3 linked regions of the Danio rerio genome follow. The protein of the gene in region 1 interacts with the protein of each later gene in a pairwise test. Links are inferred from orthologs where the notes say so. Each region holds a gene or a part of one and is shown on either strand. Other genes may lie near its edges. The genes, in order: kctd17, dmc1 and lnx1.

Region 1 (11,097 bases):
TTATATTTTAAGAATGGTAATGTTGAAATAAAGTGTCTGTATACAACTAGAGCTTGCTTGTTTTGACACAATATTTAATTTTTTTTGCTCAGAATGAACTAAAATATTAATTGTTTTAATTATTAAATTATTATTATTATTGTATTATTAATTTGTATTATTAATTAATGTTAATAAATTAACATTCGAAAAAACCCTTAACGTTTAGGGCCATTTGAGTCTGAAATTTTATTCATAATGGTCTTAAAATGTCTTAAAGTTGTAAATTTAACTTCTAGAAACCCTGGAAGCAAATCTTTTCATAGTTCACAAAAAAGAAAAAAAAAACTTAACTTCGGTGCGGCCGACTCTAGTATTGGAAACCTAGTAAGCAACAGTAAACAAGATAAGTAGAGCTGCACAATTATTCAGTAAAAGATTGCTATGTTCATTTGACCTGATCAGGATCTGAATTTCTATGATTCTACACCATTTACTATATGTTGCTATGCAACATGGACAGACTGCGAATGGTGTTGAGAGTCAGCTTACTGTATTGATTAGGTGTAATTCACCTAAAACCTAAAATGTAAATTTTGTCTTTGTGTGCCATGTTGCATAATGACATATTCGCGGCTACAAAAATCACACACAAGGTGACGCACTTGGATTTTGTTTGAGGATGCACCAGCTGCGAATAACGGGTAATACAGCTGTAAATAACATATAGTTTGTTGCAAAGATTAATCGATTCACTTCTTAAGACCTCAGTCAGGAGCTGCGTGGGTAGAATGTTTTGCATGTATATATATTTTTTTGCAGTCGAAGTCAGAATTATTATCCCCCTTTGATTTTTACAATTTGTTTTAAAAATACTTCCCAAATGATGTTTAACAGAGCAAGGAAAATTTTACAGTATGTCTGATAATATTTTTTCTCTGGAGAAAGTCTTATTTGTTTTCAGTTTGGCTAGAATAAAAGCAGTTTTTAATTAAAAGAAAAAAAAACACTTTTAAGGTCGAATTTATTAGCCCCGTTAAGCTTTTTTTTCCGATAGTCTACAGAACAAACCATCATTATACAATAACTTGCCTAATTAACCTAACCTGCCAAGTTAACCTAATTAACTTAGCCTTTAAATGACACTTTAAACTGTACAGAAGTCTCTTGAAAAATATCTAGTCAAATATTATTTACTGTCATCATGGCAAAGATAAAATAATTCAGTTTTTAGAAATGAGTTATTAAAACTATTATGTTTAGAAATGTGATGAAAAAATCTTCTTTACGTTAAACCAAAATTGGGGAAAAAATAAACAGGAAATGTAATAATTCAAGGGGGCTAATAGTTCTGACTTCAACTGGATATGTGTGTATGTATGTATGTATGTATGTATGTATAAACAGTTGAAGTTAGAATTATTAACCGCGGTTTATTTTTTTCCCCAACAAATCTGACTCCGTTACACCAATTCTGTCAGGAGGAATGGGCCAAAATTCCTTCAAACTATTGTAAGAAGCTTGTGGAAGGATAATCAAAAATGTCTCAATATTGACCTTTATTTTAGCATATGATATCAATATCTTACCAAATTTTTTATGACGTTTGTTTAAATTTGATCGAAGCATCTTGTTTGAAAACCTAATGCAACAAAATAAATACTGGTAATGATCTTCATTTGATCAAAAATCGTTTAGCTCTAAATGTAAGGATGGTATAATGTTCACTATGTCAGAGTTTTTTGTGCAAATGTATTTATATTATTCCCATAAATCCTTTCACACGAATATAAATCCACCTAAAGCGAATTAAGGAATTCTTAAATTGAACTCGTGTTGTACAAATGTGCATTAACACATTATGTGTTTCATGTTTTAAAAGCTTGATTTTAGGCTCACAAAACACTGTTGTCATGTAAATAAATGTAAAATGCAGAGTTCACACTGCACAATTTAAGCTCTGGTTTTCACTCGCCAACAGATTTTGAGAAATCGCAGAAAAATGCCCAAAATCGTTTGAAAGTCTGTGCTCATTTACTTAAATGATAATCACACATTCTGAACAATTAAAGAGCTGGTTTAAGAGAACAGCTGTTGGCCGTGAGATACATGCTAAATATCTGTCACAAATTTAAAATCAGGTTTATGAAATGAATGCTGACTGGAAAAAGGCCGCAGCAAAGACCTTCAGCAAATGAAGAGCAAGATACAGGGCAGCAGGGATCTCTAGACCACAATCTCAGAAGAAGTAAGCGTTACAATAACATTAAACAGAAACAAATCAGAAATATTCATCCATATTTTTGCCATTTTGCTGCAAATCAGCGCACAGACCATTTGAATGGCAAACGTTATGCAGGCTACTATTTCAGTCTCACGCCTGATCTTGAGTTATTTCCTTATCACTTTTTATGTGTTTGCGAGCCAGACAAAGCTGTCAGTGATTATTTAAATGGTATAGTCATGCAGTGTGTATCGGCCTGTCACTGATCCATCACGCAGTGTGAACACTGCAACAATATTGTGAGAACAACGGTGAACTTTGAAAGGTGTAAACTCTGCATAAGACACACATTTAATTTGAGCTGAAAATGATGTGCATAAACATACCTTTCAATTTCTTAGTAGCATTTACAATAATTCATTTCTTGCATTGTCTTCAGTTTGCAACATTATTTAGTTGGAAAAACGCATAGTAATAAAAATCTGTAATAAAATCGACATTTTTTTAAAGAGTGTGTCTGTGCCTTCAGGTGTGCTGGAGGAGGCAGAATTCTACAACATCACACCGCTGATTAAATTAATCAAAGAGAGGATTCTTGAACGCGACTCAAAGGCCACGCAGGTATGAGCAAACCTTTATCGAGCCTCCAATACAGTGCATTTGCTTCCTTCTATCTGTTATTTTTCTCCAAGTACTATATTTCAGTTAATCTCTTATTCTACTGTACATTTGTGACTATATTTGTGTGCTTATGCAACAGCCACCAGTCCTCCGCCCACTCTCGCTCTTTTATTTTATTTTTTTTCATACTCTCCTATTGGCATCATCCCACTGCATTTCTTGCTCGCACTGTTTTCACCCTGTGTTTCTCATACAGCAGGTACCGCCGAAGCATGTGTATCGGGTGTTGCAGTGTCAGGAAGAGGAACTGACCCAGATGGTGTCCACCATGTCGGACGGCTGGAAGTTTGAGCAGGTCAGCGTGCGCGCCTGCCGAAAACCCCGCCCCGGACTGCTCTGGACTGTGGGTTGGACTGACACGGAGTTGATATCCCTTCCCCTGATCCTAATGCTCCCAGTGTCCAATTCTCCCCTCAGATTCAGAGTCCAGTAATGTAGCTAAAGTGTCAAATTAAACTTTTGGATTTTTTATTCAAAGGGATTTTACAAGGTCAGTTGCACCAATTTTTGTTAATAATATTATGTTTTTTTAATGGCAGACTATGGCTAGACTACTACTCAGTAGGTACTGCATTTAAATTTGAATTTACTGCTCGACCGTTAGAAAGGGCTTTCTATACAGTATGAATGTGAGCAGTATGAATGGAACTCAGACATACTACATCTACCATTTGATCATGATAGCATAACCTACCCGCATTAGTTGTGTCGATTCACTCCCATTTATGAATTCTCTCGCTCTGCATCATGGATGCACGCAGCATGCATTGGATGCACAGTTTAGAATTTCGCCAGAAGTAGTAGGTCATCCGGGTACTTCTCGCATACTGTTTTTGAATTAAATATATATATATGGCATATCTGATCAGACTTTTATTATTAGTTTACGTCTCGCAAGTTTTATTCTTCCTAATTTCCCGCAGCATGGTCTTTTTCCCCTCACAAATCCAAGTTATACTGTATCTCTCCATTTGAAGAACGTGATTGCAACAAAGTTCCAATTCTGAGAATGTCTTGCAAATATTTGTACTGCTTTTATTGGCTTTCTCATTCTGACTTGGTATCTTCTAGTTATGAGTTTCTACCGTGAGAAAAACATAGTTTTTTTAAGGGATTATTTAGCTTGCAATAATTTTGTTCTTTCTTATCAAAAAAGCTCAAAAGATATTTTGAAGGACCTAAACAACATTGGTGCAAAAAAGCAAAATAATGTAATATGAAATAATCCATAATGTCTTATGGAATAACTGTTCATAACATTGAAAAACGGTAGAAAACATTATGCATAATTATAAAAAGAAACCATCATTTAAAGGTTTACCTAGGTCTACCTTTAAACACTTAAAGGTTCTGTGGTACTGAAGGTTTCAAAGTTGGGCCCAATCCCAATTCTACCCATTAGCTCTTATCTCTAGTTTTGCGTATTCACGTGAAGAAGTGGGAGTGTCCTAATTCTCTTTAGCTTGAAAGTGTAGGGCTAAGGAGAAGGGCTAGATAACCCAAGGGTAGATACACCAGCTACAATGGCAACATGGCTGCACATGCAAGTCAGGAGATGCACAAATTGGTATTTTTTGCAATTATTAAGAATTTTAACAACAAACAAGCATATGTTTTGATGCATTCATAATGACGTTCGTGTTTTACCGTCATGCTTTATAAAAATAAAACGACTTTTAAAACCACATAAATTTCATGTCTATAATCCATAATAATAACTCCTGTATAGAAATATGTATAGAATGTGTGTGTTTATTAATTAATAATATTAGACTAATTTAGGTCATTGACTGCTGGCATAACAAAGGATGATGTAACGTTACCGTTAGTAGCTAGGCAATTTTCATTACTGTTTATTGCAGTTAATGCACTTTTAAAAGACACTTTCACTTAACCAGATTGCTTGCGTTTCCGTTTATACAAGAAAACAACTTGTGTTTGTTGCAACAGGCATTGTCGGTGTCATGCAAGCTTACAAGCTGTGAAGGATTTTATACTTCTCGCACGAAAGTGAAAATGAGCATTTCACATGTGAGATTGCTAACTGTGCAGACGAATATCAAATATCGCAAATTAAAAAAGGTTGGTCAGTTAAATTATGTTGCTGTAAGTAATGTTTATTCAGCAATAATTCTCCAGTACCGATAGCAGGACCGTTAACGTCAGAACTTATTGATACTTCAGTCTTTTATAATGCAGCACCGATACCGTACTTTATAAAGTACTGAGATTCGGTACCCATCCCTCATGATGACGTGTGCAGGTGTTGTTTATATCTTCTAAACGAATTTTGTAACCGTTTTAGAGCACACTAGCTTATAGATGTCTTTAAAACACACAATACTAAAAAACTTTATTTCAATTTCATGGGACCTTTAAAAACACTGTTGGCTGATGTTTTTAGTTTGTCGAATCGACTTTGACTAGACCAATTTGGCGTATCTCTAAACATCACAAAAAGAATGTTTTTGGTGCAACTCATTAGGCATTTGATCCACGTTAATGTTTTCCTTCATGGTCCTCACCCCAATCCTCAGATCTTAATTACCTATCATAATAAAAGGCCTTCTCTTTCTCTTTCTTTCTCTCTGGTTTCTTGGATTTCAAGATGGTGAACATTGGCTCATCTTACAGCTACGGAACGGAGGACCAGGCTGAATTTCTCTGTGTGGTGTCAAAAGAGTTACACACCTCGGCTGGAGGTTTGGGGACCGAGCAGAGCCACAAAACTAAGGTTGGAGCTCCTACGCACACATGCACAGCCATAGCACTTCACATTCACTGTAACCACAGCTGCCAGTGCCACAAAAACATGCACACTTCCCATCTCATTCCACATCAGCAGCTTTAAGATCATTTCTACTACACAAATTCATGATTTGTTCAATTTTTTTTGCTATGCCATCATCTGTCGTGCTGGTTTCTGTTCATCCTGTTGTCCATTCATAAAACAACAAGACGTCGGACACACAAGAGGAGGATGGAGCGAGGGAGGAAGAGGAGGTGGAGGAGGAGGAGCGGGAAGAGGGAGAGAGAAATTCATCCCCCAATGAGTGGATTAGAGATTAGCAGAAACTTGAGTCAAAGGAATTGGTGAGGATATGCTGTCGTGTTGGTTGTGTTAGTGGTAGATCCACAAAACTCTACAAGTCAGAGAGTGTTGGTGAATTGCATCTCAGTGCACTACATTAGAGATAAACAAAGAAATGATTCTACATGCATATTCCATTGTTTGGCTAATAAAATGGTCTTCAGATTTATAAATATTCAAGAAGCACTTGTATGGATAGTTTCACTCGTCTTTTATGAGGACAATTTGCAATGAAATGCAATAACCTTCATCTCCTAGCAAAAACCAAGCATGATTTTCCTTTTTAAAGGGATACTTCACTTGTTCCAAACCTTTATGAGTTTCTTTCTTCTCTTGAACACTAAAGAAGATATCTTGCTGGAAACCCATAACCATTAACTTCCATGGTATTTGTTTTTCCTACTGTGGAAGTCAGTGGTTACTAGTTTTTAGCTTTCTTCGATATATTTTCTTTTGTGTTCAAGAGCAGAAAGAATTCAAAAAGGATGAGCGTGAGTAAATATTCATTTTTGGGTGAACTATCCCTTTATGTAGTTATTTTGAACAAAATGTGTGCAGACAAACTGTTGCTTGGTACTGAGCTGTGAATATCAATTTGAATAGATGTCATTTTAAAATGGGGTTTTTAGTAAAGGTCACAAGACCAGAAATGGTGACCGAATGACTCAACCGAATGACTGTTTAATATTTAGCACAGCGTCTGTTCCATAAATTGCCCATGAGTCACTGCCATTCCCACTCATATCCACATCTTCAGCAAAAACGATCTGTCATAATTACATGGAGCATACTAGGAGCGGAGGCTTATTTCACACTCTGTCATTATCAGAAATCATTAGAGATTTTGTGTTAATACTACCGTTCAAAAGTTTGGGGTCATAAGCTTTTTTTTAAAAATGTTTTTTAAATGCGTCACTCATCAGGTTTGCATTTGGCCCAATCCTAGTTCTACCCCTTTACCCCTTCCCCTTAATTCTTTTCCTCATTTTGTGCATTCACGTGAAGGGGTAGGAGTGTCCCAGTTCTTTTTAGTTTGACGGCGTAGGGCTAAGGGGAAGGGCTAGATAGCCCTTGAAACTGAGATTTTTCAGGACTACACTCGAAACCAAGGGGTATAAAAATTTCCCAGAATACACCATCTACAACAGCCATAAGTCAGGAGATGCACAAATTAATATTTTTTTGGCCATTAGTAAAACAGAAATAGAATTGGAATTAGGCCTTAATCAAAGCAGTAATATATTTTAAATAACTGTATGTAAGTATATTTTAATGTATTTAATTCTTGTCATGAATTGTGTTGAATTTTTTACATCATTAATCTGGTCATCAGTATCACATGATCTGAAATGAGTCCAATATGTCGATTATTTTTATTATTATTTTTATTTATATTAATGTTGAAAAAAAAAGTTGAGCTGCTTAATATTTTTAGGTTCTTAAAAGAAGTTTCAAAAGCACTGCGTATAATTGAAATGAGAAAATGACTTGATTTTGGTTTCAATTAAAATTGCATTTGCAAAAGTAATTTTATTTGCGTGGCAGGCATTTAAATGTAAAATAGTGAAGTAAAATGACTGATGTCAAAATATGGGTGAAATAATGCTCCATGTGCACCATGATCCTGAAAATCTGTATGAAATTATTTGATATTTGAAATTAATTGATTCAAGTTAATTAACCGAAATTTTGTTTTGGTAATCTTCAAAGTCTGACACTTTGCTGACATCTTTAGCGTAGTGGTCCTTCTCTGTTGATGTCAGTTTGACGGCTTCAGTCGCAATATTCTTAACCACATTCTTAAGCCTCTCGTACGGTTAGTTTGCAATGAGCGAATGATTCGCAAAAAGAAAAATTCTATTTCAGTGAGGGTTTATGCACACAGACTTTTAATTTTCAGTCAGCCAGCCCAAGCGCTTCCGGTGAACTGTCTTGCATTATAAAATTGTCACATTTAAGATCTGATTAATTTAAAAATCAGTGATCTTCACAATCTGTAAGATATACAATATAAAGTGGGTCTCAGACCCCACAAGAAGCTCTGCATTAAATTATATTTTCCCCTGCCATGTCTTTAAATATGTACATTTATTTTACCTCAGTATTTTCAATGGAGTTTCTTTTAACAGTTTTACGCTAGAACAACTAAAATGCTATCCAACTGGTCTATTTTAAAAAAGCCTATTTAAAAGTCTATTTAACTCGTTATATTTTAATTATATTACAACATCGATGCTGTAAAAGGAACCTTGTGAAACTGAAATCAGTAGCATTAAGCTCGCACCAGAAGTTTATTGCTGGCTGAAAACACTAGCTGTGCAGAGTCTATTGGAAGCGCATCAACATACTGGAATAAACACTTTAGCTATTTCCTGTTCACTCCGCCTTTAAAAAGAGTAATTTAATATGTCATCAAATTAGTATTATATTTTAAAAAAACACCTCTAAACTTTATCTCCACCTACATTATAATAGGTATCTTCTGTAAATCATGGTTAAAATTGATGGGGCTTAATATTTTTGCTAGGAAAAAAATGTAATAAATATAAAAATGTAATAAAAAAACTACTGACCTCAACCTTTTGGACAGAGCTGCATTGCTGTGACACTAATATGTTTTTCAACTCTTTTTCAGCTGTTCCAGATCCATGGGTCCCGGATGTAGAATACAAAGAACTTTATTTTTTTAGATAACCATTTTATCATGTGCTCATGATGCTGTTTTTATAGCCATACTTTTTTAGATTTGGTGACTTTAACAACGGGTATTAGCGGAAAACAAGACCTTCACAACCAGCAGCAAAAAAAGAAATTAAACAAATTCAACAAAAGGCACCTGAGGTATTAGGAAAAGACACAGTTACATAGAAAGTTAGCAACTTAGTACATGACCTTTACCAAAGAGTGCAACCTAGTTATTTATGGGATATTCAAGTTAAAATCATGCATTTAAACAACTTGGGATTGGTCAGAAATAGAATTTGTAATTTATAATATAAAGGCTGTGTGGATAGGAGACTGCATCTACTGTTTAGGTTTTGCACATTTACTGTGGTATACTCAGACCATGTCCTGTTAATCTAGCATCAGCTCTGGGTAAAGTGCCAGCAGCTCCAGGCTGGCAGACCACCAGCGGTCCACTTTACCCCATTTACAATCTGTGGCAGTTTATTTCGATAGTGGTTGGCGCCGGCTAGAAGGTCATGATTTCATTGGAGGTCGCTAGATTTAATAGGGCTCCTGAACATTTTGGTTGTGTTTGTATGCTGTTTGAAGATTTTGAATAGGTCCCGTTTACTTCTAATGAAGTTAGTTTATTTTCAGCTAACGTGCTTATACTGTCACATGTGTGGAAGAGATAGTTCATCCAAAAAATGAAGATTTAATCACCGTTTACTCTCACTCTAGTGGTTACAAATCTTTGATTTTTATATCTTTCTCTGTTGAACACAAAAGAAGATATTTAGAAAAATGTTGGAAACTGGATTCAATCCAAAGATGCGATTAGATTCATGTGCAAACCTGAAATTGCATAAAACATTTGCGAAAAAACTTTAAGAGAACAAAATCATCACTTCCTGATAACCGTTGCCAAATGTCAAAGAGACAAATGGAAATTTCTTTCTTAGGAAACCTTTCACCGTGAACCTTTTTCCTTATAAAGTTGAAGTCAGTATTATTAGCCCCCTATTTAGTTTTTTCCTCTAATTTCTGTTTAATGGAAAGAAGATTTTAGTTTAAATATAACAGTTATAATAACCTTTCTTTGCCATGATGGCAGTATATATAATACCGTACTATTTATTTTTCAAGATACTAGTATCAGCTTAAAGTGCAATTTAAAGGCTTAACTAGGTTAATTCTACAGGTTATGGTAAATTAGATAATTAAACTATCTTTGTATAAGGATGGTTTGTTCTGTTAACAATCGGACACATTTTTTGCTTAAAGGATGTAGCAATATTGACCTCAAAATGGCTTTTGGAGGATAAAAAAACTGCTTTTATTCTAGCCGAAATAAAACAAATAAGACTTTCTCTAGAAGAAAAAAATATTATTAGACATACTGTAAAATATTCCTTACTCTGTTAAACATAATTTGGGAAATATTTAAAATAGAATTTTTATTATTATTTTTAATTAATAATTCTTACTTCAACTGTATATAAAATTACTTGAGTCTCAGAAGATGAAGACAAACACAATGAATGTGCAATGGCTTTTAGAGCTGCAACCCGTCTATGGGATGCTCAAGATGCTTCTGGTAGGTAATAATAACAATGGCAGTCTTTGGGTAAGGCCTTTTAGAATGACCAAAACAACGTTTCTGATGTTTTACTGTGTTCAGTCTGCTGGTTTGTCTATTAATGCCACTGTTTTTTGTTATTACATGATTTATTTATTTTTTAATTTTTTTGCATACTGTAATATATCAGCAAACATGTTACCACTGTAGTTTAGGCATATTTGTTCTTATCAGATGAAATATATCTAATTCAGTTGTGTGCATAATTTGTATTCATGCTCATTGAAAAGCTACATTGGAAGTCATTGGCTACTGGTTTCCAACATTCTTCAAAATATCTTCTTTTGTGTTCAACAAAAAGAAATTCAAACATGTTTGAAAAGTGGGGGGTGAACTAATGTTTATTTTTGTGTGTACTATCCTTTTAAGGTTCAATTTCTTCTGAAGGAAGCTCCGTTCACACTACCAGTGACTTCGTAGCTGCTTTTCTTCCTGGGTGGCGATTGAAGTCTCTAGTGGGCATTCCCACCTTGAGGTTACTTTAGTTAATGTTTTTGAATGATATTCTCAGTCAGTTAATGAGTTTTTTCAGCTATATATAAACACTGTGGTTATCAAACCACAAAACATAAACAGAATCAGTACATGAAATGCTTAATTGCAAAGATGTAGGTCTGCAGCACTGAGAATATGGCTGAGAGAGGATCACGTGAGCTCTACTGATGCTTCCATTGGCTGTTGCACCCTAAAGTCACTCTTTATTTGCTTAAAGTTGCCAATACTCGCTGTTGTTCGCGTAGCCTGAGATTGACAAAAATCACAAGCTCGCCATTGAAATGAATGGTTGCGTGTTGCTGGTCATGTGAATGGCGTTTA
Region 2 (11,812 bases), about 320 kb from region 1:
GATGAAACATTTCAAGGCAGACCCTCCATTATTGCTTTGATCCAAAAAGCAGATTTGACTTCAGTCTAACATAAAAATATTTGCAACTAAAATCGTATAAAAATTCAGAACGATTAGATTATTAACTAAAGACATATTTATTTTTGTTAATTGAAGTAAGCTAAAAAGATGCCAGAACGTAATAGAAAGCGTACTTTAACAACTGCAATTAAGAGGGCACCTATGGTGCAAAATCAACATTTGGATGCTGTTTGGGCATAACTCTGTGTAGGTATAGTGTGTTCACGTTCACATCAGAGTGATATAAATGCAACAAGATATTTTTTTTTCTGACTTTAAAATAGGAACGTGACATAGGAATGTGGTTTTACCAAACCACCGAATTGACTGACAGTAGCACATTAACATGTCTCCATAGTAGTGCTTATAAACATGTTCACAGAACAGGATTTGCAGAGAAACTGTGATTAAAAGATCTGTTTCAACTCTGTGATCAACTGCACCTCAAGAATGAGTTTAACAAGTTTAAAACATTTTCAAAACAGTGCATGTTTAAAATAAAGAACAGAAAGGAAAACGTAATTCATATCTACTAGATTCACAATAGCTGCACGATGACAGTACAACTATATATAAGGGTGCTTTAAACACAACAGGAGTTCTGGTTTGTGGATGTTAAATCTGATTTATCATGTACAGTAATGGCTAACTTACATTTGCTGCCCATGCAAAAACAGTTAAATGTGCATGTATGTGTGTGTACTGCAAACTGAATCAGAATTTGTGTGTGACTCATCAAATGACCAAATATCTCTGTTTCTGTGACTGACTGCTGATAACCTGATGTGATGCAGCAGGAGTTGCAGACATGCGGGAACGGTGCAAAAAGAACCTGCTGATATGTGCAATATGCAGTAGTAGCCTAAGTATTGCAAACTACAGTTAAAGTCAGAAATTCCCTAAATATTTCCCAAATGATGTTTAACAGAGCAAAGAAATTTTCACAGTAGGTCTGATAGCATTTCTTTCTTCTGTAAAAAGTCTTATTTGTTTTATTTTGGCTAGAATAAAAACAGTTTTAGGGTTTAGTAATTAAAACCATAAGGTCAAAAGTATTAGCCCCTTTAAGCTATATTTTTTTCTAGTCTACAGATCAAACCATCATTATAAAATAACTTTCCTAATTACCCTAACCTGTCTAGTTAACCTAATTAACCTAGTTAAGCCTTTAGAAGTGTCCTGAAAATATTTAGTCAAATAATATTTACTGCCATCATGGCAAAGATAAAATAAATCAGTTATTAGAAATGAATTATTAAAACTATTATGTTTAGAAATCTGCTGAAAGAATCTTCTCTATATTAAACAAATTGGGGGAAAAATAACCAGGGGGTCTTTTAATTCAGGGGGTTTAATAAATACTTCAACTGTACATATTTGTCTTAATATTTTGTTTAAAATTTATTTATGAAGTAAATAAATTTCAGTTCTTGTTGTTTGAGTTTCCCAAAACCTTTTTTGAGTCCTTTGCCACCAAATATATACATTTCGAATAAATATTTTTTTAAGACTCACAAATAAAAAAGCTTTTGTTGCATTCAAAATAGTTTATCCAGCTGACATTTTCTTAGTCATTTTTCTTAAAAAAAAATTTTACAGTATAACAATTAATTATAAATTATTCCAATCTTTATATAAAGCTGTGCGGCACTGCAAAGCACTGTGGGTTTGTAGTAGTGGATTGGTTTGTGCTGGAAGGAGACCTCAAGCTGCAGCAACCTGATTCATCCTGTGGAGATCCAGTGGGGAAGAAGGAAGTGGACAAAATTAAGGTGGAGGACAAGAAGGAAGAAAGAGGAGGACGAGATGGAGGATACAATAATTGAGAAGGAGTAGGTGGAAGATAAGATTAAGAAGGAGAAGAAGATTAAAAAGAAAATGAATGGAGGGAAAGGGAGAAGAAAAAAGGGGGAAGATAGAGAAGGCAATGATAGAAAAGGAGGAGGTGGATGACAAGATTAAGTAGGAGGAGAAGATTAAAGAGAAGAATGATTGAAGGAGAGGGTGAAGGAAAAAGATGAAGAGAAGATGGAGGAGAATGATGGAGAAGGAGGAAGTGGATGGCGATTAACGAGGAGAAGATTAAAGACAAGAATGATTGAAGGACAGAAAAGGAAAAAAGAAGAGACGATGGATAAGGAGGAGGTGGATGACAAGATTAAGGAGGAGGAGAAGTTTAAATAGAAAAAGGATTGAAGGAAAGGGAGAAGGAAAAAAGAGGAAGAGGAGATGGAGAAGGATGGAACACAATGAGAAAACAATAAAAATATATTTATTCAACAATGTACTTTATTGTGTCTGGTGTTGTGATTATTTCCTCTTTATGTATAATTTAAGTGCTAAAAAATACACACATGCTGCAAAGCTGAAGTATTCGTCATCATACCTTTATTTAATTTTCATGCTTATAGTTGTGTTTGTTTAATTATCACCTACCTTTGAAATAAAATCTTTCCTAAACAAGTTTCAAATTAAAATGTAACATTTTATCTGTAACAATAAACCTAAAAAATTAGTTTGTATGTTTTTGGTCAATTTTTGTCATTAAAGGTAAAACAGAGATATTTTAACAATTTAACAACAACAGTGTAAAAAGCAGTTTAAAACGACATTTATTTATTTATTTATTTATTTATTTATTATACATTTTTTTATGTAGCAAGCTTGCTTGGGCGCGGGACTGATGCGCGTGCACGCCGAGCCAAAGTGTCAACATACGATTGTGGCGCGAAATTTCTTTCAGCTTCTTCTCAGGAATAAACGACAGGTAAAATGTAATTTCTGTTCTAAAAAAAATTAAAAATAATTAATTAACAACGTTATGACAAGGAACAAGACACATTTTTTTATCACAGCGCTTCAACAAAACGTACATGTAAATTAGCCGGTTTAGCCGCAAGTTTTAAATGATTTATGGTAAACTTGTTACCAAATTACGTGGTTAATAGCATGCCAAATCACAGGTATTTTATTATAACTTAAACGTTCTTTTTGTCTCATTCAAAGTATGAAAGTTTTGGAGGAACAAACTTTGGAAGAGGAGTCGGGATACCAAGATGATGAGGTGATTTACATTCATTTTCAGGCAGCCACAGCCCATTCAATCGTGCAAAAACATGCTTTTTTATTTAACCGTGTTAGGTCTTGTGTTTATAAAAAATATAACATCATAATGGTGCATAAAGCAAAACACTCATGTCAAAACCATAAAATACAACTGTACAGTAAAGTGGTGTACAGTTCTAACACAGCCTAAACATTAAATGGAATAGTCGTTATTAATACATATTAGAGGTATCTCTTTTTTTACTTCATAATTCAGAAAAAGACTGTAACCAGTAACAACAATAAAGTATTGTAGAATAAAATACTGTTTATAATCAGGCTAATTATGAGCACATCGATCTGTTAAAACCTTCAGATTAAAGATATGAATAAAACTAAAGTTGGTTAAAATGAATGCTGCTAAAGTGGAGATTTATGGCACAGTACAGAAGAGGAAAACTCATTTTGATTGACAATATTGAAATTGAAATCCACTGCCCAATGAAAAAAAAATGTGTGATAAAAGAAACACTCACATTGTATTTTGGCTGTTATCTTTACATAAGACTGATAAACACTTTATGAAAACCCCAAATTCTCAAAACTGACAAGCACATGATTTTTTAACCTACAGTTTCTCAACTTAAATCTGAAAATCCCCACTTGTTTTTTATTTATTTGTTGTTTCTATGTAATGTGATGAACATTTGCTATCAAATCTCTTCCAGGAATCCTTTTTTCAAGACATTGAGCTCTTGCAGAAGCATGGCATTGTAAGTAAAATGTTGTTATTATGAAGTTATGAAATGATCATGAAAGTGGTTCTCACCCATAATGATCTTTCTGAAGAACGTGGCCGACATAAAGAAACTGAAGTCTGTAGGGATTTGTACGGTGAAAGGCATCCAGATGACCACACGCCGTGCTCTCTGTAACATAAAGGGACTTTCTGAAGCTAAAGTGGACAAAATTAAAGAAGCCGCTGGAAAGTTGCTGGTAATTTGATGTGTTGGTTGACATGATTTATATATTTTTTGCTGTATTTTGTAACTACTCATCGATCAAGGAGGTTGTAAATGTAATATGTTCTGTTCATTCATGCAGACATGCGGATTCCAGACAGCATCTGAATACTGCATCAAGAGAAAGCAAGTGTTTCACATCACAACTGGCAGTTTGGAGTTTGAGTAAGAAGCTTTATAGGTCTTACATTTTTAGACACCAAATTTTATTTGTGGCTAGAATTTGTTTTTGTGTGGTGAACTGAACAATTTAAGTATAATCTACAAAACTGGCAAGGTAAATAAACTGAAATATGTAAGTTTTGGAGGACTCATTTACTCCAATAAACTGAGGCAAAGAGTTTACTTTATTCATTTAGTTCAGTCAACTTATTAAGGTTTTCAGTGTACAAGCAGTAACATGTTGTTTTATATATGTTTTCCGATGAAAGTCTTACATTGTTGACATGAAAGGAGAAACGGTTTATTCATATTTACTTTAGCAAACTCCTTGGAGGAGGTGTGGAGAGTATGGCCATCACCGAGGCTTTTGGTGGTAGGGTGATGTTTTGATTTGAAACCATAATGATATGTTAGGCATTTTCCGTACATCACTTCTGCCAAAATGATATGTTTTTGTCTTTGTGAATTGTTTCCCATGCCTCATTTAGAATTCAGAACTGGAAAGACTCAGCTCTCACATACTCTGTGTGGTAAGAATGAATCTTGTGTAAATGTTAAATGCGGAATTTAATTCTCATTTTTAGACCATTCACATCATTTTGTTTTCTTTTTTCCCTTCAGTTACTGCTCAGCTTCCTGGGGAATTTGGGTACACAGGAGGAAAGGTCATCTTCATTGATACCGAAAACACCTTGTATCATTTGTGCATTTGCTTGCTGTGTGTGAGTGATTCATTTTACTAAATCCATTTCATATGGAGAAGTCATTCTGAACTTTTTACCTTAATAATTGTGAACATCAGTCGGCCTGAGAGGCTGAAGGACATCGCTGACAGATTCAATGTGGATCATGAAGCTGTTCTGGACAATGTGCTTTATGCACGTGCGTATACCAGTAAGAATAGCTGCTACTTCTTTGTTTAGTTTTTGTGTGTCATTTTACTTGAGAATCTATTTGGCTAGACAAAGAGGAGCCACAAAATGTGTGTTGTGTGTTTTGTTACAAATCTGTCTCTATTTTTAATTTTTGAGGTGAGCATCAGATGGAACTGCTAGATTTTGTTGCAGCCAAGTTTCATGAAGAAGGTGGTGTCTTCAAGCTTTTGGTGAGTCTGGTAAGAGATGGAAGAATGTGTAAATCTTCTGAGGTAACTTTTTAGGTAGAGCTTTTACTTAAAGTTTATTAAACATTTATTATAGTTAAGTGTAAAAAAGCTAAAAGAGCTGTTTTTGGATTAATGAAACTGATTGTATTTTTAAAATTGTTAGTTGGTACACATAAATTGCTCACCTGGAATATAGATTCCTGAAAATTCCATTTAACACACAAATTATTGAGAAGTTTCATGAATGGCAGCTATTGTTCGTTTGTAAAAAAATAATTCAAGCTGGTCAATTATTACAGTTTTACCTCTTGCAAAACTTAAACAAATTTGTCACAAATAGTAGTTTATAGCATTTATGGTAATGAGAATTTACTTTTCTATGTAAGCTGTTGACCAGTCACAGCAGAGTGCACTTTCTGGCAAATCAGAGCAGATAACACAGTGTTTAGAGACTGAATCCTTTAATAAATTGTTGTGGACTGTGAGAAAAAAGGTGATGCTGCATGTATAATTGAAGGTGAAATTATTAAATTATTAGTCCTGTAAAATACATACACACATACACACACACACACACACACACTCACCGGCCACTTAAAACCTTACTAGTACCAGGTTGGACCCCCTTTTGCCCTCAGAATTGCCTTGATCTTTTGTGGTATAGATTCAACATGATACTGGAAATATTCCTCAGACTATATACAAATAAATACTCAGACCAGCCCATCTGGCACTAACATCCATGCTACATTCAGTCACTAAAAGTACCCTTCTTCCCCATTCTGATGCTCTGTTTGAACTGCAGCAGATCGTCTTGACCATGCCTACATGCTTAAATGCATTGAGTTGCTGACAGGTGATTGGCTGATTAGAAATTTGCATTAATGAGCAGTTGGGAGGTGTACCTAATATATATATATTATAATATGGGGCGACGCGGTGGAGCAGTGGGTAGTGCTGTCGCCTCACAGCAAGAAAGTTGCTGGTTTGAGCCTCAGCTGAGTCAGTTGGCATTTCTGTGTAGAGTTTGCATGTTCTCCCCGTGTTTACGTGGGGTTTCTTCTGGGTGCTTTGGTTTCCCCCACAGTCCAAAGTCATGCACTATAGGTGAATTGGGTAAGCTAAGATTGGCCGTAGTGTATAAGTGTAAATGAGTGTGTGTGTTGGTGTTTCCCAGTAATAAGTTGCAGCTAGAAGGACATCTGCTGCGTAAAACATATGCTGGATAATCTGGCGGTTCATTCCGCTGTGGCGACTCCAGATTAATAAAGGGACTAAGCCGAAAAGAAAATGAATGAATGACTATATATATTATTTCGATTTTTTCCAATTGAGTACAGACGAAACCACCATGTGGTTTTAAATGGCACTTTAAGCAGAATACTAGCCTCTTGCAAAAAAACTAGTTAAATATTATGTACTGTCATCATCGCGAGGACAAAAAAGTTACTACAAACTAGTTATTAAAATGTATGTTTAAAAATGTTTGTAAAAATCTTTTCATTAAAGAACACTCAGGAAATATTTGAAAACATAAAATATAAATCTTAAAAATAATTTAATGCTGGCACTTCATTCTTGTGACCATCAACATTTAATTTCCCACAGATAATAGACTCAATAATGGCTCTGTTCCGGGTTGACTTCTCTGGAAGAGGAGAATTGGCAGAGAGACAGCAGAAGCTTGCACAAATGCTCTCTAGACTGCAGAAGATTTCTGAAGGTTTGTAGAAATCATCATATTTGAGAATAGCAGTACTAGTATAACATGATGGCAGTCAGTCTTCTCTCCGCTGAAGTAAGCTTAAATTCAGTTTTCTCACCACCACTTTATTAATAAAAATATAAACCTTTTTGTGGGATATAGAATACAATGTTGCCGTGTTTGTCACAAACCAGATGACTGCAGACCCAGGAGCTGGAATGACGTAAGTAGGGGGAACAAATAAGAAAAAAGAGATGTTGATGAATGTTAAATGAATTATTATGATCTTAGATTTCAAGCAGATCCTAAAAAGCCCATTGGAGGACACATACTGGCACACGCCTCTACCACACGCATCAGCCTGAGGAAAGGCCGTGCTGAACTGAGAATTGCCAAGATATTTGACAGGTAATTTAAGGATTTTCTCTACATTTTCTATACAGAGTTTATTGAACACATTTCGAATTACTATTGTGTATGAAATGTGATATATAAATAAACTGGCCTTACCTTAGGCTTAGAATAAGGTTTTATCATTTAGCATCAGTCAGTGCAATGTGTATAGAAGCCTGTTTCTTAGAAGCCTAATTAAAAAGGTGATTATTAAATGACCATTCTAACTGTTTACACAATTTGTAGAAAAAGATTGTCAATTGTGAGCTGAAAAAAGGTTTGAGAAAACAATTACATTTTGAATTTTACTTAACTAATGTTTTCAAACAGAAGTGAACCTTATTAAAAATTGGAACCTTATTCACTTACTATAATACATTGTACTATATTTCTGAATTAAAAAAACAGAATTCATAAGTGAAACATTTTCACATTTCTAGTTTAATTTATTTGTATATTTAGATTGATGTGGTTATCATTCACTTTGCATGTTTGCATTATAAAGAAATCCTTTGCTTTTCCACAGCCCACACATGCCAGAAAACGAAGCTACTTTTGCCATTACGGCTGGAGGAATAACAGACGCAAAAGACTAAAACTGCACAGAAAGAGTGTTATAAAATGTCGCCAGTTTGTTCTTGCTGGAATCTGTTCAGGTGAAAACTCAAATCCGCTGTACCTATTTATTTATTATTTAATTTATCATACACCTGTATCTCTGCATAAAATTAATACAATGCACATTTATGTTTTCACTTGGTCTAATTGTAATAGTTTGTGATATATTTATACAAGTCAAGTTATATTGTAAATACAATTACATTAAAATGGTTAAAATACAAGCTATTTCATATGTCTGTTATTATTATTATATGCAAAGCACTTGTAATTTCACCACATCAGCCTTAATTTGAAAAGCTGCTGATGTGGTTATCATCACATATGGTCGCTGCTTTCACAGTCCACGCTTCTGCACTGCGCGCATGCAAGATCCAGGAGCAGCTAAGCAGCTACACGTCCATGGTGTCGCATGAAGACAAGGCGCTCTATGCACCATTTCACAACACTTTCGAGTTCCCCAATCCCTCACCTTACCTGGAATAGATACTGAAAACATAGCAGATTTGGTTTTGGTCAAAACCGCCGTGTGGTTTATAGCGCAAGCCGCTAGAAACGTCAGCTATTCGAGGTGAAGCCACTATGGACTCGAGAGACACTGCCCCTGATTCCTGGGAACAGGAGGACGATGTTGAGGCCACGGCTGATACCGAACTTCAGTCCGCCTTCACCGGGCTCAACGTCAACGCTCCGGAGTTCGTCCCATCCTTTCTTTCACGGGGTCCACCGGAAAACGCCACGTCTGATGGTAAACTGACAGCGTTAATAAACCGATTGACAGCATCGATACGGTCTGACCATAAAAGGACTTTTAGCTGGAAATGTTTATAGCAGGCTAGCAGATAAGATGCCAGCGGTTAGTTAACAATGCATTTATCATAGTCTAGTTGAAGATATTACCTAAACATAAACAGGTGTTACCACTTTATAATATGTTGATTTAGGGCCCTTTCATTCACATTTATTTTCTGTCACGAACTAGCACCTGGCTAGCTGTGCATGGCAATTTTAGCCGCCGACTTTACACCAGAACATTTGTTTGTCCTCCACATTTAATTTTAATAGTAATATTTAATGTATGATAATATGACATACAAGAACACATTAAATGAACTGTCACTCCTGCTAAATGTTTACTCAGAATTGTCTGCTTATTAAAAGTCCTAAATAAGCAACCATTCTGAGAAATATTAATATAAATATGTATAAGTGAGATAAATGCAATTTTAGGTATCCTAGCTATTTTATTCTCCACAGGATCGGGTCGCTCCCTCATGGGTGTTGTGTGTATATGACTTCACATGAACAGCTGTAGTAAAGTTGGCCTACTATTAAAATGCTGCTGCTGATGATAATGTTGGGTTAAGCAAGGGCCCTTATTTCCTTATGTTATCCTTACTGCAGTTTCTGCACTTAAAGACACATGTTGTATTTTACTTTAGTTTTGATTTCTGGATGATAAAAACACAACATTATTTTAAATGTTTAAAACGTTCTGTCAAGCCAGATTTACTTTATTGTTTTTTAGTTTAGATGACAGCATTTGACTTTGCTTGTCTGACTCTGTTTTTTGTGAATGATTTTGAGAATATTCAATATTACTGTCAAATTTTGTTTTTATTCTCACCTGTACATTAGAATCTATACAACTTTTTCCACAATAGTGATTTAAACAACATAGTTAAGGTAAAATAAAGTTGTTGTTTTTTTTAAGTGGCAGATTTAAAACTGAGTGTTTTATTTTATTTTGTCCAGCCATAATCTCTGTCTAGGCTGTGAAATAACTGAAATCATTTGGCATAGTGGTATGGAGCTGTAATGCCTGGAACAACTAGCTGGATGTTTCCCTGAAAATAGAAATGTGTGAAATGCACACCTTAGAATGTTCTTCAGCCAATCAGGATCAAGCAAACAGCTGTCTTTTTTAAAGTTTGAAGTTATCACCCATTTAATTTTTATCACCCATTTAACATGACATTTACCTGTACTCAGATCAAGTCCAAAATGACAGTCAAATTACAGTACAAATTTACTTGAATATGAGACGAGTTGGAGTTCATTCATAATGAGTCTGGACTTTGGCACTTGGTAAATTCACACTTGGTTCATTTTAATAAGTATGAATCATCTGAATTCTTTGTGGTTTGACTAAAACATAAACTGAACATGGACCAAAGACATCTAAACAACCTAAAAAAGGATATGTCACAAGATGCAACCATACAGGATAGAATGTTCCTGCATTTTTGTTTTTTTTTCCACACCTTTGTCTCAATTCTGGTTATTGCAGTTCAGCACAAGCATCAGAAACAAGTCTCTTGAAGCATATTAAATCTAATTTGTGTGATTTTATCACGCACATAACATTTTATAAACCCTTCAGGAATTTTCAACTGATAAAAACACCATCACTCAACATTGCTTTAGTTGTTTAAAAACGTTCTGTCAAGCTAGTTTTAGTTTAGTATCTTTTAGTTTACTGTCTTTTCAGTTTAGTTTGATCATGAGAAGAACATTTTATTCCCTGCAAATAATTTTTGACCTGTGCTTGTCAGATTAAATGATTCATTTTTGGAATACTGTATTTGTTACAGTAGTTTATTTTCATCTGTACATTGGAATTTATTCAACTTCTTTAGTGAATAGTGATTTAAGCAATATAGCTGTCAGTGCACAACCTAAATGCAGTTTTACAATGGCAGATTTATAACTGAGTTTTAAAATGTAAAATAGTCATAATCTCTGTCTCTTTTCACAGGCACCGATGTAGTGGCCAGCATGGAGATCTCGGAGCCAGTGGGTATGTTCTAGTTTTGTTGGATCGCCTGGGTTTTGTGTTCTGATATAGTGTTGCACTGTCACTAATGCTGCTTCATCAGCCATACAGAGGGCAACTTGGGCTTGTTACATCAGCACACATGTGCTCATATTACAGGCCTTATTTATCTCTTTACTTACACCTCCAGCCACAGTCACTGGCCCAGAGAAGCACATGACAATATAGTGCTTACTCATACAGCTCTGATTTTATTATCTAGTAGTAACTGTAATGACAAATACTACAAAAATCTAATTTCTCTCCACTGATTCTGATGTTGTGTCTCAAAGAGGCACTTTTTTAACTTTATATCTAAGAGTGTATTTATATAAAACACTTAATTGTAATAACAACTTCTGTTAACTTCTGTTGTAATAAATCTACATAAACAGAAATATCTCAATTTAATGGTCTATCTTACTATTATGATGATTATTATTTGCTTTATAATTAAAATTATGTTAATATAGCTATTTTAAAATAGTTTTAAGGCTCACTGGGGCCTTCTAATATTTATTTAGGCCCCATTGTGGCTTGGTAAAGATTCATTGACTTAAAGTTGACCCAAAACTGAAAATTCCTTCATTATTATTTGCTTAGCTTTGTGCTGCTTCACACCCACATGACTGACATTCCCTCCTAAAAGACATGCAACCCTACAATTAAAGTGGAATAAATGGTTTAACAGTGTATCAAACGACTGTACATGGATCATACAATTGACAGTACATAAAACTTAAACAGTTTGTTATTACATTTCAGATGTTACATTAAAATGATTTAAACATGAATTCAAGACCTGAATTCGTGAGATTCTAGACCATTGTTACTTTTTAAATACAAGCTAAATAATTTTAATTTCTTCAATTATCTTTCAAGATATT
Region 3 (11,097 bases), on another chromosome or scaffold:
GTTGGGTTTAGGGTTGGGGTGGGAGAAGGCTTTAAAAAATAAAACATATTGGGTAATTTAATAGATAACATAAATAATACTCGGTACAACTACTGTTTTTATGTTACTTTGACGGTTGGGTTTAAAGTTGGGGTGGGGGTAGATGTTAATAAAATACAATAAATGGGAAATTTAATAAATAATATAAATAATTCTTGTTAACCATATCCGATCTAGCAACAACCCACCTGGTCACCAATGGTCGCTTATGTAGACGGAGGTCATCAGAAGTTGCTCACTATTTTGTTAAAATGAACACTCGCTTGTCGATTTGCCGCTGATAGTCACTCTTAAGGTCCGTGCACACAGAAACGTTTTTTGCTTGCGTTTTCCCTCAACGTTTAACGCCTCTTGACTAAATAAAGGGCGTCAATGTGATTGTGCACACCAACGCAAAAAACGTCATTTTTTTCTGTTGACACATCATGTCAAAACCTTCTCCACCAATCAGGTTGGCACTTTTGTTCATGTGCACGGAACTGCTAAAGTTACAGTAAATAGCACTTGGTGGCGCTCAAGCGCAAAACGGTCAATGTGAGCGTATATTGAAGAAGATGCCCAGAGGCGATATGAACGTGGAGCTGCTTATTGAACTGGTGAACAATAATCATTAATGCATTGGTAGAGCTGGAGCTGCTGCTTGAACCATTCATAACCACAAGCGTGTCAACTTTGTCTTCTTCTTCTGTGTTACAAGCGGGTGTCAGAAGCTTAAAGTTGTGTAGCGCCATCTAACGTCAAGAAGTGATTTTGCATACTCTCCTGCTTGACGCCAGTGAAAATTGCTTGGGGTTGAATCCGGATAAAACGCTGACGATAAACGCAAATGAAAAGCGATGTGTAAGAGCCTTTAGTGTGAATTAGGCTTGGCTTTAGTCACACACTGCACTCACATGTTGCACAAAATCACATTATTCACTTATTTATCCTAAGCCACTTACAAATAAAATCTATTTATAAATATTTTTCTTAAATACACAAATGTATTAGAATTTTATAAAATTATTTTTGACTACTACTACTGAAAGTAAAAATGCATTATTACTGTCCAGTAAAATTAGTTTTTTTCTGTCAATATTAATTTGGTTTAAAACTCTTTTTTTTTTCTTTTTTTTTTTGTAAAGCACAATTCTGCAACTTCATTCAGCTTTTTCCACATTATGGAAATCATATGGCATAGCATAGGATGGAATTCAAAGACATGCAAAAAATAACATCCAGATAAATAGCATCCATATTCGGAATGACATGAAGGTAAATGCCAGCAATGAAAAACTAGTAATTATTATACAATATGAACTGTCTCTTTAAGAATGCCAAATTTGCATGACAGCAAAAAAAAAGGGTTCATTGGAAGTGAAAGTTGGAGGTCAAGGACCAGGGAAACAAATGAATGAAGGAAAAATACAGTAATAACATGGTGGGAGAGTGCATGAGAGTTGTTAATCTCTCTCTGTGCTGCTCTGTGTCCTGCTGCCCGTCCATATGGCTGTGTATGTATGTGTGAGAGAGTAAAAATGAAGGAGAAATTGGATGCAAGGTGACTGACACATGCCATCATTCATGTAACAGGACGGCTGGATTAAACAATAACCTCTGCGTTGCTGTTTTGTGACTGCTGCTGATGGTTTATATGCGGGTCTGCCAGGACAAAGACACAGCTTATGACTTCGGACCACAGATTGCTGCTTTATCTGTAGCAGGAAAGCCTGGTTTAATTATCTGCCTAAGCCCATTAACAGAGCAACAGACAGGACCATTGTGTAGCATCTTTCTCTTTGTCTTACAGTCGTTCTCTTTTTCTCTATACGTATTATATTCCAAATGCATTATAAAATAATATAATCTTGTTCTAAACTTGTATGCAGTTAATTAACCTTTTCTGTACAAAACAAATGCAGATTGTTTTTTGAAAATTGGCAAATTATTGAATAAATAAATTAATCAATGAAGACAGACAGACACTACACAACTTGCATCTCTTCTTCAAAACTATGAATGATGTATAAGCATCTCAGGCTGACAGAAAAGAGATGAGGTGGAGAAAACCTAAAGTGAACTAAGACTGTTCCCACCTCAGTTGACCACTGGCTACTAGTCTCCAATGAGTCTGTCTTATATAACAGAAGGAGATGATGTTTCCTTCTCAGCTAATCACTCAAATTACTTCTGAGGGCCACAGAGGAGAAAAGAGCACTTCACATTTACTGTACAGTTCACACCAGGTAGAGCATGGTACGTCCATCCATCCATCCATCCATCCATCCATCCATCCATCCATCCATCCATCCATATATCTATCTATCTATCTATCTATCTATCTATCTATCTATCTATCTATCTATCTATCTATCTATCTATCTATCTATCTATCTATCTATCTATCTATCTATCTATCTATCTATATATGTCTGTCTATCTATCTGTCTATCAGTTTCTATCAATCCATACATCCATCCATATCTGTCTGGCTGTGTTCGTCCATCTGTTTTTTAAATTTTCTAATGTCAGTCTATCTGCATCGTCTGTCAATTTTAGTCTTCGATTGTATATGAGAGTGGTAGTTGTCATCACAGAAAACTCCTAAGCTGTAATTTTGTCCCGACACACTGCCAATCGACCAGCGAGGGGTAATTGCCTTTCTTTAGGCTGCCAACAGGATTTGAAGTCTTTCATCAGCACCTTAACAGAAGCCGAGTGAAAGCAGCCGTTGTTCTTTTAGGGCGGTTATTAGGTTTGCACACCTGAGGCACTCCAATCAGTGGTCAGAAGTAAGTGAGATATACAGCCAGTGTCAGACCCTCGGCCACACGTCTCCTTTCTCTCGCTCTTTTTTTCTCTTATGGCAGCTATGAGGGTGAAGACAGGCATGAATACTGAGACAAAATGCTTTATTTTAAAGATGGTCCCCAAGGCATGGCATCTCTCCCAGTGCCGTATGCATTTTTTTGCCTGTATATGTCCGTCCATTGATTTATCTCCTCACAGCCGGCCCTCAGAGAGGCCTGTGCTCCAGTGGCCGCCATAATAGTTCCATCATTCACTTTACAAATGTTTGAGGTGAATTTATTGTTTTCTTTTTTATTGATATTACCTATCTATCTACCTATCTATCTATCTATCTATCTATCTATCTATCTATCTATCTATCTATCTATCTATCTATCTATCTATCTATCTATCTATATATCTATATATCTATCTATCTATCTATCTATCTATCTATCTATCCATCCGTCCATCCATCCGTCATTCTATCCGTCCATCCATCCATCCATCCATCCATCTATCTATCTATCTATCTATCTATCTATCTATCTATCTATCTATCTATCTATCTATCTATCTATCTATCTATCTATCTATCTATCTATCTAGCTATCTATCTATCTATCTATCTATTTATCTGTCTGTCTGTCCGTCCATCCGTCCGTCCGTCCACCCATCCATCCATCCATCATCCATCCATCCATCCATCCATCCATCCATCCATCCATTCATCCATCCATCCATCCATCTTCCTTCAACACCAGCCATCTAGCACCGCTCACACTAAAAGCTCACTGGTCCAAAATAAAACAATAAGCATTTTTGACCGGATCACATCACACAACAGATTCTGATTGTCTATTCACTATTTTTCCAGACAAATTGCCTGTCACTAGTTAGGAAAGAGTAAAGTTCAGGGATGCAGAGTGGATCAAACCTATGACCTTGTATATGAGAGTTAGCCTAGTTGCATTTACTGGCTAGTCAATGCAAACATAGTGACATTTAAAGAATGCTTTCAAGTAGAAATGTATGCCGCAAATGTATTTCTGGATGCGCTCCACTATATAATCCGCACTAACATCTGCATGTGAGTGTTTATGAGTACAGTAATGTTATGAAGAGATAGCTTTAGTGCATGATTTGTTTTGTAAGGCAAGAAATCTCATTTCAAAGGTGAGGCCTTTGATATTCTACTCTTAGTGTTTGTTTGCTTCCTGTGGCGAACGTATTTGTTCTCTGGTCTCCTCTATGATGGCACAACATAATATATCAGCTACACATTGCACAAAATTCAGTTCAAGTCCAAATACACACCCTAGCGACGATGTGATTACTAAGTCTCCTCTACGTGACTTTGCTTTCCTAATTGGCACATGGATGATGACATTTTCATTGTATGGTAATGTATCTTGCTGACCCAGTTGTCATTGTGTGTGTGTGTGTTCTCACAGGTGTAAAGGAGCGTCACACTATGGACTCTCTGCAGAGAGAAAGCGTCGCTCTCAGGAGGGCGACTGCACAGACAGCACCTCAGAGCTCACTCTGGCAGCACTGCCCGGCGAGGGTTGCCCCTCCTCAGCCATCGCCCTCCTATCAGATGAGCCTGGCCTGGTTAACCCCGCCTATGAGCCCAGTGTGGAGGATAACAGCCAATCCGGGAGCACCACCAGCCTGGCAGCACGCAGCGGTTCCCGGAAGAGTGAGTGTGAGTGCACACAGTGTATTTGTGTGTATTTGTTTATATCTTAAAAGTGTTGTGTGTATATGTGTTTGTGTGTGTGTGCATGCAAAAGGTTTTATGTATCCTACACTATAAAGAATGCAGAGTTCCACACAATGCATTTATGTTGTCCCAACACAAATCGATTAAGTTAGATTAACACATTTAAGTGGACTGAATATAAAATAATTAAGCTGTCCCCAAAAAATCTCAAGAATTGTGTTGTTTTAGCTCATTTTAAATAAGTTGTTTGACCAAGCAGCAAACACATTGTTTTTAATGTATATGGGTAATTCTTTAACTACGGGCACTTTTATGTCCTTTGATCATATATCCAAAAATATATAGAATTTTGTCAAACTTATAATAAAACTTAATTTAAAAAAATTTACTAGCTATATTTTTTTCATATTATTCAACCTCTTTTTAGGTGTCAAAATCACTGTTTTCGCCTTGTCGCACACTCAGAGTATTATACTTTAACAATATTAATAACATTTTAAAATATTATGTAGCTGGTAACTTTTAATGTATCTTAATTAAGTACTTGTAAAATAGGTTAAATATTTTATAGTTTTTAACGTAAGACTATAATCAATAAAATTTTATACTTAACATAGCTGTCGCACAGTTTCAGTGTCATTTCCAACTTGTAATGTCGCTTAAAAAGGTTTGTGTGAAAGATTGTTTAGGTGGTTTCTATGAAAATGATTAGTGACATCAAAACACATGTTCAAGATTGAGGGAATTTTTATCAACAACACTTGAAGAAAAATCAAGATAAATATTGCTTGATAAGGAAATACATTAATTTAGTCATTCCCAAACATGCTGTACCTTCAAAGGTGTTTTTAAAAACCAAACAAAATTAAGGTAAATAAGAGTGTTTTGTATACATGAAACGCTAGTATCAATTCAAAGCTAATCGGTGAAGCTATCTTTAATTTTTTAACAATAAACTGTAGAATTGTCATTTCCTCCTCTGTCATTTCCATCCATCCATTCATATACACACACACACACACACACACACACACACACACACACACACACACACACACACACACACACACACACACACACACACACAAACACACACACACACACGCACACACACACACACACACACACACACACACACACACACACACACACATACACACACACACTAAATTCAACATTTTGCATTTAAAAATTTTTAAATATATAGTTGAAGTCAGAATTATTAGCCACCTTTAGATTTTTTTTTTCTTTTTTAAATATTTCCCAAATGATGTTTAACAGAGTAAGGAAATTTTCACAGTATGTCTGATATTTTTTATTTTGGAAAAAAGTCTGTATTTTGGCTAGAATGAAAGTAGTAAAAAAAACAAAAAACATTTTAAGGTCAATATTAGCCCCTTTAAGCTATATTTTCTCTTGATTGTCTGTAGAACAAACCATCATTATATAATAACTTGCCTAATTACCCTAATCTGCCTAGTTAACCTAATTAACCTAGTTAGGTCTTTAAATGTCACTTTAAGCTGTATAGAAGTGTCTTGAAAAATATTTAGTAAAATTTTACTTACTGTCATCATGGCAAAGATAAAATAAACTAATTATTAGAAATTAGTTATTAAAACTATTATGTTTAGAAATGTGTTGAAAAAAATCTTCTCTCCGTTAAACAGAAATTGGGGAAAAAATAAACAGGGGGACTAATAATTCAGGGGGGCTAATAATTCTGACTTCAACTGTATGTTTTTGAATTGCTTTTATTCTAAGATTTATTATTATTATTATTATCATTATTATTATTATTTAGTATAGCACCATTTTCTTTTGGAGATGTTCCATGCAATTGTCTTTTCCTTTCTCACAATTATTGAGAGAGCTACAGCATTCTGAGTAATGTCATTTATTCAAAGTTGCGCTCTGCACCACTAATGTCATTTGTAATGCAAAAATCAATTCAAACTGCACATCTATAAAGACTCTGCTGAGACACATAAATTATTTAGCATTTAAAGACAAAGATTAAGAAAGAGAAAAGTGTAAATGCCATGTGAACACTTTATGACCTCCACACATCGGTTTCAGTTTCTGACATTGCCTCAAAACGTGAAGCATGGAGAACGGGGACAATAAATGCTGCTGCCCCAGCAGTTCTGGCTTTAGGACTGAAAACAGTGTGACACTGCAGCTGAACAAGCTGTCTGCATCCACTCTGCCCAATGCCATTTTAAACCTTGTTCAACAGGACTGAATGACTGAAAGAGTTGAAAAATGCAACCATTGTTATTAAATTGAACATAAAGAACATTTGAACACCATTATATTTGTTTACCGAAACTTTCATATGTGATGTCATCACACAGACATGCAGAAACAGTATCCAGCACAGCTCTGTGCTGATTCAGGTCTGACCTGAGGTTCTTACTGCAGTGTCCACAGTTCATCATCAGCAGGTGCCGCCAACTTATCCAGAATATGTTTTACACAACGGATGCCATTCCAGCTCTCCCCATTTCTGGGAAACATCCATCCATACACACTCATTCACACACATACACTACAACCAGTTTAGTTCATTCAATTCATCTAAACCACATCGTCACCTTGGAATTATAAGATTCTATCTGCGTTCTAAATGATTTTGAGATATTGAGCTTCAAAGTTTTTGCATTCCATATAGCAAAGAGCAAGTGTGTAACATTTGTTTTTTAAATAAAAAGTCTTAAAATGTAAACAACTAGGCTAAATTGTCCATAGTGAGTGTGTGTGTGAATGTCTGTGTGTATGTTTCCCAGAGATGGGTTGCGGCTGGAAGAGCATCCACTGTGTAAAAACTTGCTGGATAAGTTGGCGGTTCATTCTGAAACAATTTTATCAAAAATGTCTCAAACTATTATACAACACCCATTCTTGTCAATTGACAATTTTGAAAAAAACTTTTAGATCCACTTCATATGTTGACTATACAGTTTTAAGTTGTGTCTGCTAATTTGATCTGTTTCTTGCAAATAAATTATATCAATAAACAAGCTCAAGCTTTCAAGTTTCAAGGTTTCAGGCCACAATAATTTTACGTGATCTACATTAGACACTATAAAACAATATACTGTTAGATGAGTTATACAATTGCACTGGTATTTATGGACAGACAATAAAAAGGTTTAGACCCTCACCTTGTCAGACTGTTGTCACTTGGTTTATTTAATCAGGCGATTATGTAAAATTGAGACTAGTAAACCATGCCAAAAGGATCTGTCTTAGGCCTTCTTCAGTTTTCAGAATATATGCTGCCTGACTGATTGTAACCAGAATGTACAAAGGACATGTCCAGACATGCTTGGGCAGAGAAGTTTCTCTCTCCTCCTCCTTTCTCAGTCACTTTCTTCATTTCACTCTCGCATTCATTCACAGATCGCAACTTCGACAGGACGTCGGTACGCAGCCGCTCATTTCGGCGCCTGAATAGAGCCTTCAGTGTCCTACGGAGGACCAAGAGTGGGACAGCAGTGGCCAATGACACCACAGAGGAGCGAGACAACCTCAGAAATGCCAACATACCAGCAGAGGGTGAGTGTGAGTGTCCAAATTTTCTATTTTCTCACCTGGTTAGGCTGAAAATATAGGTAATGAACAAACTGAATGCCAACTTGGGACCAGTTAGAATCAAAGAAATGTAGCCAGAAGACCAGTTAGACCAAATTAAACCAGATAATAACAAAGCTCTGTTTGATGCTATCTTTTGTATTATATTTAGTATTGGTGTTAGGGTCAACATGAAATGTAGCAAACCTGTTAGTAAATGAAGTATAAAGCCCCGTTCACACAATATAAATTTATAATGAAATCTTTATTTATATCCAGAATACAGTATAATTACATTGTTTCTTAACACCAAAACACATTTTTTGAGATGTTGACAGTCATATATATGTCCCACGCTGCTAAAAACACTATTAGGACACATTTACTTCACAAAAAAGTGAAAATTGGTTGTTTATGCATTTTTTGAGCAAATTCATTCTTCAAGTTTCGAAGCTACGTCAAGACCATGAGATCCTTGTGTAAATTCTCGCCTGGAGACTGGATGTCTGTACCAGCCAGTGCAACACCCACTCATACACTACAGACAATTTAGCCTAGTTGTTTAAATCTTTGAGTCAGCATTAATTAATGAGAAATACTTCCAAGTCTTTTTAGACCACCAATCAGCCCGCTCTATTGTGAATAAGGTGCAACTTCATTAATATGCATGATAAGCTTCGATGACTGTTTACCTGTTACAGTGTTCAGACTTGTGCTGCCAATCGTAAACCAAGTGGAAGAAGAAAATTGTTTGGAGACAAGGGTTGTCAGTGTTGTTTAAAAATGTGCCACAATAAAAGTTTTGATTACATTTTCCAACAATGAGAGTGAAGCTGCATGTGGACATGTGGATTACAGTGGTCTGCTAACAAGCGACAAAAAAACGTTTGTAAGGAACATTTTTTATTCAAGAGCTTTTCGGTTACACGGTTTCAGTTTGTGTTGATTGTCCTGTCTTTACGATTTTGGTAAGTAGGCAAGATTCTGACGGTATGATAACCTTAAAAAAGTATCATGGTCTCACAGTTTCACGGTATTACGATTACTGCTCTAAAATATGTTCTGTGTAATTGTCTAAACTTTTTTCTCTCTTGAACACAATATATTTTAGTTTGAGAAATATTTTTAAACAGTAAACATGTCAGACTAAACTTCTGTTTTGTTAAATCTTTTCAAAAATAGATTTTTTATAATTTAAAATGGCATATTTTGCTATCTTTTCTGTTGGAGATTCTGTTGTCCTTAAAAAAAAAAATAAAAAAACAGAAAAAAAAAAATCTTACACATACCTTAGGAATGGTATTGCTGAAAATTTTGACGGTTTTAAAACCTTTAAACTGCGGTATACCTTAAAACTGGCTATTGTCCCAATTGGTAAGTGTGTGATCTATGTTCGCTGTTTATGTTTATTCAGATGGCAAAGTTCTCTTTCAGTTTTTAAAGTTCTCTTTCAGTTTTTAAAGACATACCTTGTTCAAAATGATTTAGTTACTAAGTTTACAGTACGTTAATATCACTTCAATATTATGGACTGAAAGATCCGCTGTAAATGCTGCTTTCCTAATGTAAACATGTAAACACCTCAATCTAACTATTATCGTCATGTAGGATTTTCAGCGCATTTTGTGACAGGATAGTTTGTACACACATGTCACTTACCGGTTCCTTGCTTTGACCGAGAAATGCGTATGTTTATTTTTCTCCCATACAGCATGCAGTATTAAACATTCCAGTAAAACAACACTCTTCCAGCAGTTCCTCGCATCCAATATCTCGTTAGTCACGGGGGGCTTGCATGAAATGTTTCTGAATGAAAGTAAAAGTGCCAAACTGCGGTTAAAGTCGACAAATTAAGAATGAAACAACTGAAACTACATGAAACTCTGTGGTAAATGTGGATAGCGTAGTGACGTGATGATGTTAATCATATTATGTGCTATAACATGTAAAACGGGATCATGAAAGGAACAATCAAAAAGTAACTCATGTAAACACTTTTTTTCATATTATTGTTTTATTCAGATTAAGGCAAATAATTTGATGACTGATGTCCATGTTAATGTAGTCACTGTCTGTCTCCCCTATGTCTGTTTTGCCGCTGTCAAAATCAGAGCATGCATGTACTGAAATTCCCCTTTTCATGCAAACCCTTCCCTCTTTCGCCACTCGACACTCCCACCTAAACAAAGCTGGACACCCACTTTCCTCACTATTTTCAAACTATAGGTGTGAAAATACCTTGTTGAATTGGGGGGGGGGGGGGTTCAAGGCCCTTTCAAAGCACATGGTTAAGTTTTGTAATTTGTTGAATGCTCAGGTTTGTTGGTTGGGTTTTGCTCTGTTTTAAAATTGATTCCAAAGTTATTATTCTTCTGTGCCATTATCCTTATAGTTGTGGTGGATTTGCTAACAATATAGTTATTGTCCTTGATGCGAGGTATTAAAATCTCATTGTGTCATTAATATTCGCTTAAGAACCGGAAATGGCATATTCGAGGTCAGTCACAAAATCAGACATATTCTCAGCCTTGGGGAATGAATGTTCCCATCACTATCGTTGAGTAGCATGTTAAAACAATGTCAATGGATAATAAAGGAGAAAGGGAGTGTGTCAGAAGGTGACAGTCTGGTTTGGGTCCGCTCAGCACCGCAGTAGCATATGGTCCTTTAATAATGCAGATGGAGCCTGAGGAGCCTTGTCAGAGAGAGACAGAGAGGAAATAAAGCAAGCAGTGTGTCGGGACAGAGAGACTGGACAGATGAACGCTAAGTGTGAGGGTTGCTTTCTGAATGTAAACAAAAGAGGAAAAGAGACTGGAAATGAGTGAGGAAAATACTGATGAGCAAGTGTGTGCGCGCTTTCGTTATGTAACACCCTGGTTGCGGTAGTAATGAGCTTCACTTTCTCTTTCCCTGCAAGCAATCAGAAGTGATGAGAGGAAAATATTGACTTTGAAAGAGAGAAACTGCAGATTGTGGAGAACAGG

The links.
Region 2: the proteins of kctd17 (region 1) and dmc1 interact in binary tests that used the Homo sapiens proteins (3 or more experiments, as listed by UniProt). The two-hybrid records come from large-scale screens. The link is inferred for Danio rerio from reciprocal best matches to the Homo sapiens genes KCTD17 and DMC1.
Region 3: the proteins of kctd17 (region 1) and lnx1 interact in a two-hybrid assay, tested with the Homo sapiens proteins (2 studies listed by BioGRID and IntAct). The link is inferred for Danio rerio from reciprocal best matches to the Homo sapiens genes KCTD17 and LNX1.

The regions. Positions count from the first base shown.
Region 1 is NC_133187.1:20,699,209-20,710,305, forward strand, and holds part of kctd17 (BTB/POZ domain-containing protein KCTD5), read left to right. Parts: intron 1-2,732; coding exon 2,733-2,824; intron 2,825-3,080; coding exon 3,081-3,227; intron 3,228-5,492; coding exon 5,493-5,618; intron 5,619-5,842; coding exon 5,843-5,953; 3' UTR 5,954-5,977; intron 5,978-8,610; coding exon of another isoform or gene 8,611-8,640; exon of another isoform or gene 8,641-10,650; 3' UTR 10,651-11,097. UniProt on the Homo sapiens protein: Substrate-adapter for CUL3-RING ubiquitin ligase complexes which mediates the ubiquitination and subsequent proteasomal degradation of TCHP, a protein involved in ciliogenesis down-regulation.
Region 2 is NC_133187.1:21,019,822-21,031,633, forward strand, and holds dmc1 (meiotic recombination protein DMC1/LIM15 homolog), read left to right. Parts: upstream 1-2,410; 5' UTR 2,411-2,610; intron 2,611-2,719; 5' UTR 2,720-2,827; intron 2,828-3,066; 5' UTR 3,067-3,067; coding exon 3,068-3,124; intron 3,125-3,833; coding exon 3,834-3,878; intron 3,879-3,954; coding exon 3,955-4,101; intron 4,102-4,209; coding exon 4,210-4,292; intron 4,293-4,609; coding exon 4,610-4,662; intron 4,663-4,777; coding exon 4,778-4,819; intron 4,820-4,910; coding exon 4,911-4,983; intron 4,984-5,091; coding exon 5,092-5,183; intron 5,184-5,320; coding exon 5,321-5,394; intron 5,395-7,002; coding exon 7,003-7,117; intron 7,118-7,261; coding exon 7,262-7,322; intron 7,323-7,390; coding exon 7,391-7,507; intron 7,508-8,018; coding exon 8,019-8,088; 3' UTR 8,089-8,334; downstream 8,335-11,812. Other genes in the region: gspt1 (eukaryotic peptide chain release factor GTP-binding subunit ERF3A), read left to right, coding at 8,693-8,858, 10,869-10,910. UniProt on the Homo sapiens protein: Participates in meiotic recombination, specifically in homologous strand assimilation, which is required for the resolution of meiotic double-strand breaks.
Region 3 is NC_133195.1:25,255,375-25,266,471, forward strand, and holds part of lnx1 (E3 ubiquitin-protein ligase LNX), read left to right. Parts: intron 1-4,262; coding exon 4,263-4,510; coding exon of another isoform or gene 4,511-4,516; intron 4,517-7,939; coding exon 7,940-8,095; coding exon of another isoform or gene 8,096-8,101; intron 8,102-11,097.